3 linked regions of the Callithrix jacchus genome follow. The protein of the gene in region 2 interacts with the protein of the main gene of each other region in a pairwise test. Links are inferred from orthologs where the notes say so. Each region holds a gene or a part of one and is shown on either strand. Other genes may lie near its edges.

Evidence for each region.
Region 1: the proteins of SH3GL3 (region 2) and ATXN2 interact in binary tests that used the Homo sapiens proteins (3 or more experiments, as listed by UniProt). The link is inferred for Callithrix jacchus from reciprocal best matches to the Homo sapiens genes SH3GL3 and ATXN2.
Region 3: the proteins of SH3GL3 (region 2) and RPL35A interact in a two-hybrid assay, tested with the Homo sapiens proteins (2 studies listed by BioGRID and IntAct). The link is inferred for Callithrix jacchus from reciprocal best matches to the Homo sapiens genes SH3GL3 and RPL35A.

What each region holds. Positions count from the first base shown.
Region 1 is NC_133510.1:114,460,533-114,464,527, reverse strand, and holds the start of ATXN2 (ataxin-2), read left to right. Parts: upstream 1-1,195; 5' UTR 1,196-1,451; coding exon 1,452-1,681; intron 1,682-3,995. UniProt on the Homo sapiens protein: Involved in EGFR trafficking, acting as negative regulator of endocytic EGFR internalization at the plasma membrane.
Region 2 is NC_133507.1:24,739,924-24,743,889, reverse strand, and holds the start of SH3GL3 (endophilin-A3), read right to left. Parts: upstream 2,801-3,966; 5' UTR 2,595-2,800; coding exon 2,526-2,594; intron 1-2,525. UniProt on the Homo sapiens protein: Implicated in endocytosis. May recruit other proteins to membranes with high curvature.
Region 3 is NC_133518.1:81,470,981-81,475,127, reverse strand, and holds the start of RPL35A (large ribosomal subunit protein eL33), read right to left. Parts: upstream 2,801-4,147; 5' UTR 2,688-2,800; intron 2,096-2,687; 5' UTR 2,064-2,095; coding exon 2,053-2,063; intron 1,870-2,052; coding exon 1,717-1,869; intron 1-1,716. Other genes in the region: DRC9 (dynein regulatory complex protein 9), read left to right, coding at 3,088-3,104.

The DNA of each region.
Region 1 (3,995 bases), on a different chromosome or scaffold from region 2:
TCTCCATGTTTTTCTAGGTCTTTATCTGGACAATTCTAGGACATTGAAGGGGAATTTTGGTGTTTCTTCCTCTATTAATTTCCTGAAGTCATTTCACTCAAAAACACTAGATTGGCTGCTCAAGATAAAAAAAGTTATCTACTTGCTTCCAGTTTACTTGCAACACATTTTATAAAGGGTCTACTCTGCTGGCTGGCTAAGTTAAATTAAAACTTATAAAGGGTACAAGGTCTAAAGTTCGCACGTTCTTGTGAGGTCTGCTTATTCTCAGCTCTACCAGTCTCAGTCCCGTATATTTCCTTCAGAATCTCGTGAATGAGGAAAAAGTTCAGATGAAGGTCAGATACCTAGAAGAGTTTTCGAGGCTGGGATGAAAAAAGTGGGGAAAAGGTACCCAGATGTGGGTGGCCCCGGAGGGTTTCTCCACTCCAGCCTCAGCAGGACAGCATAGCGCGGCCTGCCTGGAAGGTTCCCAGAGGCACTGGAGAGCCTAGTGTGTGCCCGGCAGGAAAACGGCGGGATGGTGTGCCCCCTGAATCTGGCAGGGTTGTAGGTGCTTTACACGTAGAAAGATAAATTCTCCACTCCAAAGAACTCGCAGTTCATTTTCTGGGTTGCATCAGGTGGGGGCAAACGAGGTCCCTGCAGGAGTGTGAGGACGTTGAAGGAATACACTGGGGGAAAAAATGCTTCCCTGCCGTTCTCCACACCAGGCAGGCCCCAGAGGCTAAGACCGACACGCCCTCCCCGAAGGGCAGACCCGCCTCGAGAGGGCGGACCTGGGAAGGGCCTGCCGCCTGGCCCTCACCCGACCCCCGCTAACGCGGACCAGCGGTGCGCCCGCTCTTCACGTGTCCCTCCCGGTCCCGGGTCCGCCTAACGATTTGCTTCCGCCCGACTCCTCCGACTTCCGGTAAAGAGTCCCAATCCGGCATCCCCGTGCCCACCCGGCGCCTCGGCGCACTCAGCCTCCGATGCGCTCAGCGGCCGCACCTCCTCAGAGTTCCGCGGCAGCCACCGAGCCTCGCCGTTTCGCCGCAGCTAGGTGGCCCGGGGGGCGCTCGCTCCCGCGGCCGGCACGGCGAAGCGGGCGGGGCGGCGGTGGCGAGGTACCGGGCCCGTATCCCTCCGCCGCCCCTCCCCCGCCCGGCCCTGGCCCCCCTCCCTCCCCGCAGCGCTCGCCTCTCTCCGCCTCAGACTGTTTTGGTAGCAACGGCAACGGCGGCGCATCCCGGTCCGGCTTCCGGCGGTTCCTCGGTCTCGGCGGGCCTCCCCGCCCCTTCTTCGTCCTCCTTTTCCCCCTCGTCAGCCCGGGCGCCCCCCCGGCCGCGCCAACCCGCGCCTCCCCGCTCGGCACTCTCGCGTCCCCGCTGCGCTCCGGCGACTCCTCGGCGCGCCCGGCTCCCGACTGTCCCCGCCCGGCGTGCGAGCCGGTGTATGGGCCCCTCACCATGTCGCTGAAGCCCCAGCAGCAGCAGCAACAGCAGCAGCAGCAGCAGCAGCAGCAGCCGCAGCCGCCTGCGGCCGCCAATGTCCGCAAGCCCGGCGGCAGCGGCCTTCTCGCGTCGCCCGCCGTCGTGCCTTCGCCGTCCTCGTCCTCTGTCTCCTCGTCCTCGGCCACGGCTCCCTCTTCCTCGGCGGCCGTGGCGACCGCTGGCAGCGGGAGGCCCGGCCTGGGCAGGTGGGTGTCGGCACCCCAGCCCCCTCTGCTCTGGGCCCGGTGTCCCTTCCCCCGCGGCTCGCGCGGCGGTCCCCGCCCCATGACCGGCAGGGCTGCCCGAGGTGGGCTGGGGGCTGGCGGCGTGTGGGGGACTCGCCCGGGCCAGAGTCCCGAGGCTCGGCTGGGGGGCGCCGCGGGGGTCTTCTGGGATTGTCAGGCCTGTCCAGCCTCCCGCAGCATCCCCGCCCCCTCCCCCAGCGGTCAAGATGGAGGGAGCCAGCGGCCTCCCCTCCCCACGCGTGTTGGGAGGAGTTCTCGGGTCGCGGCTGTGGTCACCCCTGGCTCCCCCTTTCGCACGCCCCCTCCTCCCGCAGCAGGGGTATGCTTGGGCAGCGTCCCACCCCCAGTTTAGGTGTGAACGTTGGAGGGGTCTGGAGGCTTTGGTGTCGTTTTCCGGAACATGTCGTTCCCCCATCGTGGGGGACATCTCAGAAGGGGAGAAGTTAGGGCCGCGTCCCCCGTGCGCGTTAAAGGGGTAGGCACTGGGCTCCTCCGGAATCATCAGGGTCTATCGGGGCTCCTCTCCCCGCCCCCTCCCAGTCCTGGGAAAGATCGGAAGACTGGGTGGAGACAGGTGGGCCTTGGCCCCCGCACCCCTCCCCGTTTGATTCCGAGGCTGCGGCGGGGGCTCCCGAACTCCCGTGGAATCTTGGGGCTCCGTGCAGCCTCCTGCAGCGTTCCGCCTTACCCCTCCTAAGGAAGGGAAGGGGTGGGGAGTGCCCGGCCTCCATTCTTCCCCCGCCTGGCCTGTCCGGCGCGCGGGTGGTGGCCGATCCGCATTGCTGTTCCGAGGCTGCGGTGGAGAAGGCGCCTGTGAACAGTGGTGGGCGAGGGCCGGACCCAGGCTGGATCCGGGAGATCCGGGGCGGCGGTGCTGGTGGCAGGGAGCGGGTGCCCTGCGCACTTTTCCCAATCCCCGCCCCAATTTCGGAAATGCTAGGAGAGAGAGATTGCAGAAGGGGACGTGGTGTGGTTTCTGAACGCAGAAATGTTTATTGGTGTCTTTTTCCCACCTAAGCCGGGGTTGTGATAGAGACGGGGCGAGGGATCAGTGTTGTCCTGGCTAACTGGTTTTGACTCTGGAGAGTGTGTTCGTGCAGGAGGTCCTATTGAGGGTGGCGGGGGGTGGTGATTGTCAGTTCGTATTTCACGAACTAAGAAAATGCTTAGTGTTCAAACGGAGAAGCAAATGTCAATAGACTCCATTCCATTGTGGCCGGTGTCCTTAACTTCGGGAGTGCCGCCAGAGCTTACCAAGGGCACGCAAGTCCATTTCCCCTGTGCCCCAAGTCTATCCGTGTTGCAGGCGCTACTGTGCCTCCCTTAGGCCTAGGCCGCCGGCTTGGCAGGGCCAATGACTGGCGTCCTCCTTAGACATCTTGGGTTTTGGAAGGTGGGATAAGAGGATTTTTCACGCACCTGAGTTTTCTTTTTGAACACACATTTTCAGCAATCCATTTCTAAATAATTTTTATTTACAGCTTAAGTTCCCCATCAAGAGGTATCAGCTGGTTTTTAAGGAATTCTCTTGCCTTCAATGGGGCCAGGGGCTGAAATAGTCTTCGGTTATTTGACTTACAAGCCTCGTCCCGTCCCCGCCCCGCCCCCCCCCCCAACTTCTCTGAGTCTGAAGCATCCCAGCCACTACTTAGCCAAACTAGTTCAGGTGAAGTGATCATTTCCCCTCATAGAGTAACTTCACTTTCCCTTTTTTGTTGGCATCTAGTGAGGAATGAAAAAATTTTAAGTACAATTTTTATAGAAAATGATGCATTGTTTTTATTTTCTTAGGTATTAGAAGGAGATTTGGCAGATATTTTCAACTTGTTCAAATACATACAAATTAAAACTAAGGATTTTAAATTGCATTGACTCTTAGGCTTAAAAATTAGATTATAGCAGAATTTGCTTCAGAATAGCTTGAGTGATGAGAGATACTTGGAATGTTTTAGTTCCACAAGGCCTTTTTCTGTTCCTTGAGGCTTTACAACAATTTAAGATTAATTTAGATTTTTTTCCTTGCTTTACATTCTTTTACTCGAGACCTAAATGGTAGCCTTTATTCTTTTTGATGAATAGGTGAAATTTTATTTACTGTGTTGGATTTGTATAATGTGAAATTTATTCTTGTGCAGATTGTTAATGTACTTGTAGAATTACTTTGAATTTTGAATCACTTTACTGCTTTCCTTGTAAATAAGTTTCAACTTCTGGAATCGCCTCACTTTGGTTTGTGTATCAGCAATGAAAATAAGTTTCTGAGAGCAAGGGTGAA
Region 2 (3,966 bases):
AAACAAGAAACAACATCACACCTAAAGAAATTAAAGAATATCTGTAATCCCAGCACTTTGGGAGGCCAAGGCAGGCAGATCACCCACGGTTGGGAGTTCGAGACCAGCCTGACCAACAGGGAGAAACCCCGTCTCTACTAAAAATACAAAATAAGCTGGATGTGGTGGCAAATGCCTTTTATCTCAGCTACTCAGGAGGTTGAGGCAAGAGAATCACTTGAACCTAGGAGGTGGAGGTTGCAGTAAGCTGAGATCATGTCATTGCACTCCAACCCTCTCTCCCTGAGAACTCTGTCTCAAAAAAAAAAAAAGAAAGAAAGAAATTAAAGAATAATTCTTTAAAATAGTCTATTATCCCATCTACCATCATGTTTCCACATTAGACTCATAAATGCCTTTTTACAGATGGTTCGTTTGAATAAGGTTCACATGTTGCACTGGATTGATTTGTCCCTGTCCTACTTTGGTTTCCCCAGAAACAGACCCTGGGGCAATGATTTCAGTGCAAATGGTTTATTTGGGAGGTGACCCTATAGAAACTGGTAGGGGAGTAGGAAAGTGAGCCAGTGGGGGAGGAGCACCAACAAGGGCGTGTTGCTGCTGGGGGCAAAGGAAGCTCAGTCTTTCTAGGCAACTCCAGAAAACAGTGTAGGACACCCCTGAGAGTTTCCCCAACCCTGGGAGGTAGAGGAAAGGAAGCTGGGGTATTTGTACACCAGCTCTCCACCCATCTTTGTCTGAGGACTGCTTTGAGACATTAACTCTCTAAGCCATTAATTCTCTGACACTCTGCTCTGCTTACCATGTGTAATCTTGGGGACAGAATAAATGCCCTTGGGCAAAGGGTCACAGGTGTCCCCAGCGCGCAGCCTCCAGCAAGCTGTAGAGGTCGAAGTGGAGTGAATGTGGGCAGAGCATCAAATGCATCTGTCACAGTCCCTTAGAAGTTTCTTTCATTAACACCACTTCCCCCCATCTTTTTCCTTTCCATGTATTTACTAAAGAAATGTGGTGTATTTTAGAATTTCCACATCCAGTGGATTACATTCCCATAGTGTTATTTGATATGCCCCCCTATCTTCCATACTTTCTATAAATTAAATAGTTGAAAGATTGATCAGATCGCAATTCTACTTTCTAGCAAGAAACCTACAGGTAAGTCAGTGTCCTTCCTACACCACCACATAGGAAGTATGGGCTTCTAACAACTAAAGGTTTGCCCAGCTTGAAAGAAGCTTTAGGCCCCTCTCATTGGTTCGTTATGTTGCTTAATTCAGCATATTCCCAAGCAGACAAACTCCTTCCACATGCCGTGGAAGCTGGACAAACATGAAGTGAACAAGTCAGGCTCTGTGTCACTCAAAGGCCTTGCCGGCAGACTTCAAGCAGGGTTTGCCTGTGACTCAAAACAAACATCTGAAGATGGCATTGATTCTTCCACTCCTTACAGCACCTTTCAAACACCAAGCCCCTTCTGAAACCAACTCACACACCAGAAAAGGACAAGACCACATGAATTTTTGACTTTGAATGTCAGATGTGTGAATCTATTTACACTTTAGCTCCCATGAGTTCCAAAGCAGAGAGGTGTTCAGATCCTCTAAATCTTATCTACATCACTTCACAAGAAAACTTTCCCTTACAGCACTGTAATGCACAGACAGTGCAGGCAAAAAGAAAGAAAAGAAGAAAGAAAGAAAGTAAGTCAAGACTTTTGAAGGAACGCTAGCATTAAATTCAGAGGAAGATTGAGTCCAATGCAGTGTTTTATACGAAACTGACAAGTTGAAGTTCTTTAGCCATCGGTATTTAGGAAAAAGCTTCATTGAATTTGGGTAATTTTCCAAGGTCCTTTCCACTTCCCTCCATCAAGCTTTCTCCAGAAAGGCGTCCACAGAGTCCAATTCACTTATTCAAGAAACACTGGGCCAGAGCAGTGGCTCGCAGCTGTATCCCAGCACTTTGGGAGGCCAAGGTGGGCAGATCACAAAGTTGGGAGATCAAGACCATCCTGGCTAACACGGTGAAAGCCCATCTCTACTAAAAATACAAAAAATTAGCCTGGTGTGGTGGCACAGGCCTGTAGTGCCAGCTACTTGCGAGGTTGAGGCAGGAAAATCGCTTGAACCCAGGAGGGAGAACTTGCAGTGAGCCAAGATCGCACCACTGCACTCCAGCCTGGGTAACAGAGCATGACTCTGTCTCAAAAAAATAAAAAAAAGGAAAGGGGAGAGAGAGAGAAAGAAAGAGAAACTTACTGACCGGGTGAGCTAAGGGACTCTGTCTCCAAAACATACAGGAGGACTTCTAATGTCTCACTTTCCTCTCTACCCACAGGATTCTCAGACTCCACCCAGCACACATTAGGTCCCTGTCAATCATCATTCCCTGCTAATATAGGGCTTCCCACTTTTTACCATGAAGATCTCCAACTTCTTTCAGTGCTTCTGTGCTGAAGAGAATGGCTTTTCAAAGTTTACTCTTCTTCCCCAACATCTCCCCCTTAACATTTTCCCATTTCTTACCTGTTGGGAGATCCAGGTCAGGCACATATTACCTGGTTTGCATATTATCCCAGCAAAGATTCCATCCATTCATTCATCTTTTGATTTAAGAGAGTCCTCAATGTTTATGCCACTGCTCACTGGGAAAATGGTCATATTCCCTTAAAAGCTCCTGACGAGTATGTAACTAAAATGAACAAATTCCAAAGGATGATACTGCCCTTGTGAGAGCTTGGTCTATTTTCCCTGATGCACAGGTGCTATCCTGCCCAGATAGAAACCCAGTGACCACTGTCATGTACTGTGCTAGGCTGAACTAGGTTGTGAGGAGCCAACTGTGACATCACAGAGGCAGAGCATCACTTCAGGGCCAAGAAAATGACCACTTGATTCCTGTTTGTCTTCAGGGCACCCTCTGCCCTTGGTGGATATTTCAAACTCACAAATAACATTTCCTACCCAGGACATTTACCAGAAAAAACAGATCGTAATCTGGCCACCTTGGCTTCCTCTCTGAGAGAAGGCTGAGCCCTCCTGATGAGTCCTCAGTGTCCCTCTGGCATTTACCCGCCAGTGACTGGCATATAAGAAGTCACTGGGACAATGAAGTGTATAAGAGCAAAACCTCTGCTAATGAGGATAGCGGAAAACAAAAAACAACAAAGGCAAAATCACTAAAGGGTCAGTGTTAGCACAATTCCACAGTGGAAGGAAGCCAGCTTAGACCCACAGAGAAAGGGGAGTCCAAACTCCAAGAGTGGAGGCCCCTAAGAGGCCCCAACATCATTCATTCCCCTGAGGTTGGTTCCCACACAAGGTCATCAACCTCCTCCCAACCTCTGAGCTGACCTCTGTGGGCCATACAACTCTGACCCCAATGATGCAATTTCCCCTGCCTGGCAAAAATGCCCAGGGCACAGAGACAGTATTTGGTTCCCTTTTATCTATCATCTATCTATCTATCTATCTAGCATCTAATCTATCAATCATCTGTCATCTATCATCTAATCTATCAATCACCTATCATCTAGCTGTCATTTACCTATCAATCACCTATCTATATATCTATCCTCTGTCTATCAGCTTCTGACAATTCTTACTCAACTCTACCAAAAAACAGGCACAAACCTGTCCCACAGGCTATTCTCTATTCCCTAAATAGGCCTAATTTCACCACTTGCTTTCCCCTGGAAAGGGCATTTTGGTTCAGCCTCTTCATTTCAAATAGTGATAGTGGCCCAAAAGGGTTAATGACTTTCCCAAGATCACACAGCAGAAGCAGACTGAAATTCAAAACGATTGTGCTCTACAGACACTGGGCTATGTAATACTGAAGGATTTTCAGGTTTTTAGTTATAGAAGAAAAACATGGTTCTCAAATACATAAACTTGCCCTTGGGCTATCAAATGCTGGCTATGATGGGGCAACAGTTCCTTCAGGAGATGGGGTGGTTAGGGAGAG
Region 3 (4,147 bases), on a different chromosome or scaffold from region 2:
TTCCTTTAATTAGACAACAGTTGTCTTTCACCCAGCCTGCAGTGCAGTAACCCAATCATCGGTCACTGCAGACTCCATCTCATGACATCAAGCAATCCTCCCACCTATGCCTCCCAAACACTGGGATTACAGGTGTGAGCTACTGCACCTGGCCCCCGACTTAAATTTTAAGCCACTGACTTAAAATGTTAAAGGAACACTTTGCCTGCAGATGAAAAGGTGGGGCAATGATGAAAACACTTTCCCAGAGATTTTAATTGGCCTGGAATGGGTTAAGAAAATAGGATTGGCTGAGCACTGTGGTTCAGGCCTGTAATCCCAGCACTTGGGAGGCCAAGGCGGGCAGATTACAGGGTCAGGGGTTCTAGAGCAGCCTAGCCAACATGACACAACCCCATCTCTATTAAAAAGACAGAAGTTAGCCTGGCATGGTAGCACACGCCTGTAATCCCAGCTACTGGGGAGGCTTAGGTCACAGTGAGCCAAGATCACTCCAGTCTGGGTGACAGAGCAAGATGTCCTCTCAACAAAAAGAACTAATGTCTACAGTATCAATACCTTTAGGCATGCATAAAAGCCGCAATTTGGGCCTGGTGCACTGACTCACACCCGTAATCCCAGCACTTTGGGAGGCAGAGCCGGGTGGCTCACTTGAGGTCAGGAGTTCAAGACCAGCCTGACCAACACTGTGAAACCCTGTTTCTACTAAAAATACAGAGTTAACCCCAACTACTTGGGAGGCTGAGGCAGGAAAATCGCTTGAACCTGGGAGGTGGAGATTGCAGTGCATTGAGATTGTGCCACTGCACTCCAGCATGGACAAGAGTGAAACTATGTCTCAAAAAAAAGAAAAGAAAAAAAAAATCTTAATTTTAAGGCATCAACAAAATGCATTACACACGAAAAGCGTTCTAAACCACCTTAAATTCTGGCCAAAGGAGCTGAGAAGAAAATTAAAAACCTTTAAATGATCACAATGTAATAAGAAATTCGCTCCTTTATTAAGTGCCAAAAGTTCCTAAATCCAACACCGCCCTCAAAAAGTAATGTCCTTCTAAAACTCCCCATTAAGTTCAATGACGCAAAATAGGCACCACAGCAACACCAATCCAGCCTGGCCAACATGGGAAAACCTAGTCTCTAATAAAAAATACAAAAATTAGCAGGGTGTGGTAGTGAACCCCTTGAAGCCCAGCTACTCAGAAGGCTGAGGCTGGAGAACTGCTTGACACTTGACTCAGGAGGCGGAGGTTGCCATGGGACAAGATCGCGCCACCTCACTTCGACCTGGGCAACAGAGCAAGTCTCTTGTCAAAAACAAAAAAACCAATACCAAATACTTCAGCCACCTCTTTTGTTTATTCTTCCAATAGGAAAATGAAGCCAGGCGCAGTGGCTCACGCCTGTAATCCTAGCACTTTAATAAGAGGCCAAGGCGGGTGTATCACCTGAGGTCAGGAGTTTGAGAGCAGCCTCGCCAACAAGACAACCAACCCCCTCACGCCCCCACCCCCAACTAAAAATACAAAAACTAGCTGGGCGGGTGCCTGCAATCTCAGCTACAAGGGAAGCTGAGGCAAAACTGCTTGAATCGGAGGCGAAGGTTGCAGTGAGGGAGATAGCTCACTGGACTCCAGCCTGGGCAACAGAGCAAGAGTCCATTATTTAAAAAAAAGAAAAAGAGACAGATCTCAAATTAAAACCCAATAAACTTACTTCTTTGCTTTGTATACATAAGCACATCTCTTGCCCAAATAGAATTCTGTTTCATCTCGGGCATAAACACCTTCGATTTTAAGAAGAGCTGTGTGCTCCCTTTGGTTCCGGAGACCCCGCTTATAGCCGGCAAAAATAGCCTTGGACCACAGCCTAAGAAACAAAAGATACACAACATGAAACGCAATCTTCAACGAACCAGTTAGACCTGTAATAACCCCCACCCAAAAGTTACCTAGAGCGAACATCTAATTTTTTTCTTACCAATTTTAAGCTCTCATTTACGTTCACGTGTAACACACAAAAACAAACAGCAACTATATTTAAAACGCGTACCTTCCAGACATAGCTCCTTCTGTAAGTCCTGTTCCCAGCAGGCCTTAAAACAAAAGATTCTGTTTAAAGCAAGCCACACAAATGTCCCGCCCCGTCCCCTCTCATTTAAGCCTCTAAGGCAAATTCCTTTTGAATCGGAATTTCACGTAAGAGTGCGGGGAAAATATTACGCCAGAACATCCGTATGAAACGCGGGGTCCGGCTAGACATTCGAACCTCAGAGAAGTTAGTATCTAAGCAAACTTAAGAATGAGACAAAACTAAGGGACAAGAGGCACTAAAATAACTCTTAGAAAAGCCTGGGAACACTCGGGAAAAGAAATGGAGACTTAAGCAGAGAAACACATCTAAGACCTTTACACTTGGCGGGGGAGAAAAGCTGAGGAAGAGACTGTTAGCAAAGGGAGGAAACAAAAACCCTATCCTAAAGGAAGCACGGCCCCATGGACAACTGCAGACGAACAAAAATATCCATTTCACTCCGCTCGGGTCCAAGAATTTAACTTAGATAACCGGGCAGCCGTTCTCCGGGTGTGAGGGGACCAAGCACAATCAGTCCAGCATCTCCTGCATCCTGTTGTCTCTCTTCTTGAAACCCATAGAAATCAATGGCTGGCAGTGATTCCGATACGCACCGGCAACTCGCTAGGGTAGACGAACAAACTCACTCCAGTCATTTACCTCCAAATTTCAGCAGCAGGCGCTTCTCTAGCCTCCACAAGTGCCAAGATGGCGGGAAGAGAAATACGAGGCCCCGCCGCGCGGCCTTGTGGGATTAAGCACCTCTCCAATGCGCCCTCAATTTAGGCATCTTCTAAAAACGCCAGAACAGCAGCCCTCGGAAATCGTCTTCGGACTGAAATAAGTCACATTCAAGAGCACTCTTAGAATTATTTTACTTAATCCTTTCATTTTGGTAGGCTGCAAGGTAAGCCTATTAGTTGGTAACAGGGGAAGGCAAAATAGTAGCCAGCTAAATCCGCCGAAGCTGTGCGTTGCCATAGAAACAACTTAGCTTGCTCCTTGCGTCCCCGGATGCTGTCGGTGGAAAGGTGAGGCTGCCTGAGGAGAGGACGGTCCCACTGCCTAAAGGCTGATTGACTGTAAGATTGATTTGCGAACAAATCGAGGGTGCTTTTCCTTCGATTCATACAGCAATAGACAGAACGGAGACTCTAACCTAGCATGGAAGAGAAAGGCTGGGAGCAGGAAGGCAGCAGGAGCTCTTCCCTTTTTCTTTTTCTATACTTCTTTTCTCCCCTCTACTTAGTTATCTCTTCAAGAAATGAGTCTGGGCACTGTGGCTCACGCCTGTAAACCCAGCTCTTTGGGAAGCCGAGGCGAGAGGATCGCTTGAGGCCAGGAGTTCGAGACCAGCCTGGGCAGCATAGTGAGACCATCTCCCCCGCCCTCCCCTATCTCTACAAAAGAAAAAAAAAGAATTAAAAAAAGAATGAAAGGACTTAAATTCTTACCTCCATTCTTCTTTTTGGATCCAAGGTATAAGGAGGACTGCCTAGAGGAGGCTTTATCGCCTTTTTAGACTTATTTTAGCTACCTCGTGTCCGCACCTGATAGGTCCTCAGTAGATACTTGTAGAGGTGTATTCGTGGACGCCAGAGATTTACATTTCCGAATTATTACGCATTTATTTGGGTTACCCTATGGATTCATTAATTTATTTAACAAATAGTTTAATGAATGGCTACCCTATACCAAGGTTTGTGTAGGATGACCACATGGCAGTAAACAAATCTCTTCCCTCATGGAGCTTACATCCTACGAGGGGGAGCAAGACAGTGAACAAGGAAAATAGGTGGCACATTAGAAGAAGGTAGCTTCTGTGGAGAAAATTAAGCAGAGAGGCCAGTGTAAAAGGCTTTCCGCCCCTTACTTTGAGATGGGAAGTATTTAAGGGTTCTGAACAGAAGAGTGACTCGATCTGACTTCCATATTGAGAAAGTCACTGCGTTGGGACTGAAGGGAGGCAAGGGCACCAGCAGGAAGAGAATTATAGGTTACTGTAGTGAATGTGATGAGAGATGATGGTGTGGAAACACACGTGATGAGTACTGGAATTCTGATTATATTTAAA